Callithrix jacchus: one gene and its partner. The protein of the gene in region 1 interacts with the protein of each later gene in a pairwise test. Links are inferred from orthologs where the notes say so. Each region holds a gene or a part of one and is shown on either strand. Other genes may lie near its edges.

Region 1 (2,928 bases):
GGAGAATCTCCTGACCCTGGGAGACAGAGGTTACAGTGAGCTGAGATCGCACCATTGCACTCCAGCCTGGGCAGCAAAAGTGAATCTGTCTTGAGGAAAAAAAGAAAAGAGGAAAACAATGTCAAGTGGGTCGTTGAGGTCAAGGGCAATGCTCATATTTCTCTGGAGAAAACAAAAGGTTCTTGGGTCCTGAGTGAGAACAGATGGACCCAGCCCAAGTCTGGGATGCTGGGAGGAAAAGGCGGTTGGGCAGGGAAATGCTGAGATCCTTTGGGCCCAAGTAAGTGTACGAGATCTGTGGGACATCCACGAGGTTTAGGTGACCAGGACTCCGGGGTCCTGCAGGACAAGGGGACTTGGTGACATCAAGAACAACCCTTTGGTCTCTGGCTTCTGCTCTTAGGGAGATAATAGGGTCATCCTCATATAGAGGAGCATGAGAGCAGGGCAGGTTGTAGAAGGTGGTGAATTTGTGCACAGGTTGCAGCCCAGAAGTCCTTTTGCTTATGGGGTCTGGGACCAGGGGGAGACTGGGCATTGTTAGGGTTGGGACTTTGAGTGAGAAGAATCAGAGAAGAACTAACCTTTTTGTTTCCACAGAGAAACTTCCAGGGAGAGCCAGCACACCCTGGAGAAGGAAGGAAGGAGCCATCCATGTGGTAAGGAGCTGAGCCGTCCATCTGCCTCAGGATGTTTAGAGTTGGAGGACTAGATGAGCCCTGAGGGGGTCTGCATGCCACCACTCACTCATTCATTTACATCTTCCAGGAGCAGACCCTGGGCAGGTAGGCTAGGAGATGAGACCTGGCCCTGCCCTCAGCGAGTCTTGGGACTAGGAGGAGATCTGGCTCCTGACCCTGCCTCGGGGGCGGGCTCCTAGGGAGGCCCTATGCCTGAATGGAGCCCTGTGGGAGTGGCATTAGTACAGGAGACTCTTAGACAAGAAGACACAATTGTCAGGCAGAAGGGACAGCTCAGTCACACGATCATTCTCTCACTGAACACACCTCTCCCAATGCTCCAGAAAACCTCCTTGGAGAGCTCCCAGTCACCTGGGAGATTTGGAGGGTGAGGAGGGTCTCTGCAATAAGCGTGGATTCAAATCCCAGCTCAGGTACTTCGAAGTGGGGCAGATGTGAGCATTAGGTCGTATGTTGTGAGGCCCCAGCCCTGTGATTGGGATATGATTGTTAGAGGCTGTGTCCAGGCCTGGGACGATGGAGAAAGCACTAGATGTCTGGGCCCACCCTCCTTCAGAACCCTGGCCTTGGGGCCTCTGGTTTCCTGTGGTGCTTCCCTCTCCCCTCCCCTCTTTCAGGCTCCCAGCTGCGGCTCCTAATGAGGCTGCCTGCCAAGGCCTCTAATTGGACTTGTCTGGGAGGAGCTGAGATTGGGCGGGATGGGAGCTCTGGAGCTATGACCTCCCTTTGCGTCACCAGAGAAAGGAGGGGGAAAGGGGCTGAGCAGTGGTGGAACAAGGGGAGGCAGGTACCATGCGAGTTTCCAGAGGGCAGGGGCAGTTTGATCCACAGATTGGAAAGCTGGGAGTGAGGAAGGTGGTGAATGCAATGGCCCCTAAAGGTAGCCAGCAGTGAGGACTTGGACCTTGAGAGGGGTTGGATCCCAAGTAGAAGTTTCTGGGCATCAGATAGTGTTTGTCTGACTGGGGCAGAGCTGGGGGGCCTAAGACCACTAGATCCCTTATTTCGTGGTAGCACAGCTGTGTTCCTGAGGGCATCTTTGAGGGTTTTGGGGCTGAAGCTTGTAGTGGTGGCAACTATAGGGCTGGATCCCTGGACCCCAATGAAGGCAGTGGCTGGTGGTGTGGATGGCAGGGACTCAGACGGCTGTGATCCTAGGAGGGGCCTCCCTAAGAGTCTTCCCCGGAGGCAGGGTCAGGAGCCAGATCTCCTCCTAGACCAGAGACTCGGAGGGCAGAGCCAGGTGTGACTCATCTCCTGGCCTACAGGCCCAGGGTCTACTGGAAGATGTGATTGAATGAATGAATGAGTGGCATGCAGCCCCCTCAGAGCTCTTCCTGTCCTGGAAGAGGGGCTTACACACCCAAGAGGATCTGGGATGGGGAAGAGCTCCAACCGTTGGATTCTGTGCGTGGGAAGGTCCCAATTGGAGTCCCAGTTCTCCAAGAACACCCAGTGAGAGTCATGGAAAAATGGCTCAACCCACTACATAGGAAGGGGGTTTCTACACATGCTCTAGGGTCTCAGAGAGGCCTGAATCTCTGGTATTTTGGAGAGTGAGAGAGCCGGAAGCCTCAGTTCCCAGCTGGGGTATCAGCTGGGGAAGTAGTGGCTGAGAAAGCAAATCTGAGATGAAGAGGCCCCTTATTCTTCTGGCATTCAAAGACCCTTTCAATAATTTGGTGAAAATTCCCCTGAAAAATACATATGCAGAACACCCCTGAGGCCCTTCCATGCTGCCTGGCCTGTGCTAAGACCCCTGCTCCTAGGCTTCCCTCCCAGCCTGTAGCAGGCAAAGGGAACTAGGGAGAAGAGGAGGATGCCAGCAGTGACTTTGTGGTCCTCAGGTTAACCAGAAGAGAGGAAGAGGAGGCTGCGGCGAGCCAGGTCACGGTAGGCAGTCCCCAGAACCCCTCCCCGGTCCCCATCCACTCCAAGCCCGCAGAGGCTCAATTGTTTCAACTCTTTCCCAAGCCCCAGCCTCAGACCCCTCAGGAGCAGAGAGGAAAATCATTTGGCCAAGAGATAACAAGGCCCTTGCTGTAACTAATGAGACAGAGCGATAGTGAGGTGGGGGGTGGCTTGGAGGCTAGTGGGCGGCCAGGCTGCTCCCAGGGGACTCCTCCAGCCACACACAAGGCTGCAGTCGCCATACGGCAGGCCTCATAGACGTGGCTACACCCACGGATTGCATAAATGCACACGCACATTCGCCCACACTCGGAGG
Region 2 (3,653 bases), on another chromosome or scaffold:
CAGAAGCCCATTATAAATGGGTACACTATACCATAGATAAAAGGCAAGGAAGCCTAATTACTGGAAGATTTTTTTAAATGGTCTTTATTTGGCTACATCATTGATAGTCTATGGTGTAGAATTTCTTGACATCTCCCAGAAGATGTATTACTGTAAGTTTCCATTTTATCAGGTTCTAAGAAACTTTATTTTTGAAAGAAAAAAATGGTGGGCAAGAAAGGAAAACGTTTTTAAGAGAGTTATCTGTGTATAAATAAAGTGGCTGATAAATTAGTGAAAGGAAGAAGTTTGGAAAGCAGAAGTTTTAATGTTGTATAAAAATAAATACAGTGAACTAACATTACTTAAGACTGATAATAGACGATTGTTGTGGGTAAGTGAAATGAGTCATTTTATCCGTTGCATACTTATGGGAAGGCTTTCAAAAGGTCGGTAATAACTTAAAGGAATCTACATCCCTTTTATAATCAGCGAATTGGTGACTAATGTGTTTTTTTTCTCCTATTACATGCCTTTTAGACATTTGGTTGTTCTAACCAAGGTGGGGTAGCAAAAGAGAAACGAGACAGAACTCTATCAGTCATTATATTTATTTACCAGCATTTACAGCAAATGGCCAGACCTGGGCAAGGTGGTAGCAATGATGGATTCTACGAATTAAGGCATTGTTTTTTATTTCAAAATTTTCATTTACCTGTATTTTCCTTGGTCTTAGAAACATGAATAATTTAGAGCTGGCAATACTCACCATCAGGATATAATAAATGGAGGTTTCTCTGTCTGAAATCGAAAAGATGTAGTAACACTCTATTGTACTTTTAAAAATCCTATTTTTCCAGTTGGCCTCCTTTCAGTTAATTAGTTAGGTAGTCTTGGTACATTTGGAGGGTCATAAACGTGTCATAGAAAGAGTACTGGCATTATGAAAACCTGGATGTTAGGGATTTCACAATTTGGTCATTTTGCAGCTGCACAACTTTAGAAATGTAAGTTCTCTGAATGTCAGTTTCCTCTGCTATAAAATAGAGATAGGAATACCCATCTGACATATTTTTCAGGTACTATTGTGAGTATTAAATAATATTGCATATTTGAATGTGCACTGGAATGTGTAATACAACAGACTAAAGTTGTTGATTAATGCTTTAAAAATGTAGCTTTCACTGTATGTTTTTTGTTAAAAAAATCAAAATAGAAATCAGTGGGAAATGTAAATGTTTATGAATCATACAGCCCAAATGTAAATAAGTAATTTACAAATGCTTTACAATAAAATCAAAGATATTATTCATGAATTTTTAAAGTAAAAAATCTTTGCAGCTAAATATTCATCAACTTAAACTTATTCTTTCTTTTATAAGAATGTTCACTATGTGACATTATAACTCTCCAAAGGAGAAATTCTATAATTAGTTCAGTTCTCTGCCTTAAAAGTTTCATTATAAGGCAGAAGAATGGAATAATTAAGTTTAAAAATAAGCAAAAATATATAATTCTAAACCACAGCCCCCTCATTTAAAAGAGCTTAACAAGAATACTTTTCCCAATGTACTTATAAACAACCTAATATTTATATAATAACACAAACGTACAACTTAAATCATGATGATCAAAGGTAATGTGCAATTTGATACCCTTATCAGCTTAAATTATTAAACATCTAATGGTCTTGAGAGACTGCACTGAATTTTAAAAAATGAACCACATGTGCTTTAAAAATGGTTACCTATTGAATATGGTGTTGGTCAACTGTTTAGAATATAGGCCAGAGTTTTAGAAAAATATTTGAGAAATACAGTATATATGATAGGGTCCCATGCAGAAATAAGCCTGTACAAACAGATATGTTTAAGCGTGAACAATAATTGAGGTAATCGACTAACTTCTTTTTTTTAAAGGGTAAGTCACAGGCTTCTTTAAAAAGAGCAAATGAATCACTTGCTCATTTTAAATTTCTTATCTTGATTATATTAAATAGTACAGTTTTTTAAAAAATAAGAAATAATTAATTAGAGTGTAGGTAACAAATTAGCTGGGTGCGGTGGCACATTCCTGTAATCCCAGCTACTCAGGAGGCCGAGGCAGGAGAATCACTTGAACCCAGGAGGTGGAAGTTGCAGTGAGCCAAGATTGAACCACCACATTCCAGTCTGGGTGACACAGCAAGACTCCATCTCAAAAAAAAAAGAATATAGGTAACAAATAGTAAATTCTGGTCAGTAGCAACATTTTTGGACCAATGGCAAAAACATATTAATGAAATGTTTAAGAATAACTATATTGCTGATATTCTAACAGCACTATGATCTTTGCTATCAGCAATCCAAGATTTAGTTCTTCATCAGAAGTCTCTCTCTCTCACACACACACATACACATACACAATTTCTCACATCATCTTGTCTCTACAAATGCATCTCAGGTTATCTTCTGTTTTTGAAAATTACATTTTCTAAAACACAACAACATTTTTCCAACAAATAAATGATCAAAAAATGACCCACTCTTTCATTAAAGATTTCTGGAGATCACTCCATGTTTAACAATTAGCCTGACAAGAACTTGCAGAACTGAAATTGAATTGACATTGGCACAGGGTAATTTTAGATGGAGGTAAAAGTGAGTTTATCTTATGCACAGCAAAACGTATTTAGGTTAGTTTAAATAGGAGCAATTGGTAAATTTATCCTCAGCTAACATAGAGGTGGGCAATGTTAAAACGATTCAAAGCTTGGTTGGGCACCCTTCATTTTATAGTATGCCTGGGATACGGCACATCTGTGAGACAACAAAGGCTAAGAGCTCTGCTTCTAATCCTGCATTACAAATTTAATAATCAAGTACATTTGCTATGTTTGTGGTTTTAAAATTATTCACTGTAAACATCCCATATTATTTCCTAATTAGTTTCAGAGCTGGAGTCTATATCTATGTCTATGTTAAATTATCATTTATTCTATGAAAAGCAGCACAAATACTGTTCATTCTGGTTTTGACACAAATTCCTTGAAAAAAAAAAGTTAAGGCCATTTAATCGGATCAGGGCCAACTGACAATTACCCTGGCAAAAGTCAAACTACTGATTTAAGAGTTTTGAAAAAGAGCCATAAGTGGTTGTAGTGTATCTTCTTCCTTGGTAACTTGACACAGTTTGTAGGATTTATTAGTCTCCAACATCTCCATCTCGATCTCCAATAAGCCAAAGAAAATGAAAACTTAAGGCTAACAGAGCTGTCCCGAGCAGATCACCCAGTGCTGTTAGGTAGGGGATGGAGAAACTGTCTGGGTCCTTTCCTTTCCTCCAGAAGTGATGGACCATCCAGTCAGCAATCCACAGCAAAGTAAATACCTAGAACAGAACACCAGAGATTACTCCTGCTGCCCGGACATTCCTAGCTTATGAAACATGGCCACAAGCAGAAACCACTAGCTTATGGAAGGAACAGCATGGGTCTAAGTCAAGAACCATGCTTGAAAAGAAGAAATATTTGACAAGAGTATTTTCATTTCACAAGAAAAAAATAGCATGCATGGTTACAGGTACTAAAATTTTTCTTCAACTTTTCACATAGATCTCATTTTATTCTAGCCTCACACTAGCCACAATAATTCTTATATTTTAATAGCATTGTACGGTTTCCAAAAGACTGTTTC

Evidence for each region.
Region 2: the proteins of KASH5 (region 1) and SLC41A2 interact in binary tests that used the Homo sapiens proteins (3 or more experiments, as listed by UniProt). The two-hybrid records come from large-scale screens. The link is inferred for Callithrix jacchus from reciprocal best matches to the Homo sapiens genes KASH5 and SLC41A2.

Annotation. Positions count from the first base shown.
Region 1 is NC_133523.1:43,175,891-43,178,818, forward strand, and holds part of KASH5 (protein KASH5), read left to right. Parts: intron 1-600; coding exon 601-659; intron 660-2,548; coding exon 2,549-2,594; intron 2,595-2,928. UniProt on the Homo sapiens protein: As a component of the LINC (LInker of Nucleoskeleton and Cytoskeleton) complex, involved in the connection between the nuclear lamina and the cytoskeleton.
Region 2 is NC_133510.1:107,729,971-107,733,623, forward strand, and holds the end of SLC41A2 (solute carrier family 41 member 2), read right to left. Parts: intron 3,349-3,653; coding exon 3,163-3,348; 3' UTR 575-3,162; downstream 1-574. UniProt on the Homo sapiens protein: Acts as a plasma-membrane magnesium transporter. Can also mediate the transport of other divalent metal cations in an order of Ba(2+) > Ni(2+) > Co(2+) > Fe(2+) > Mn(2+).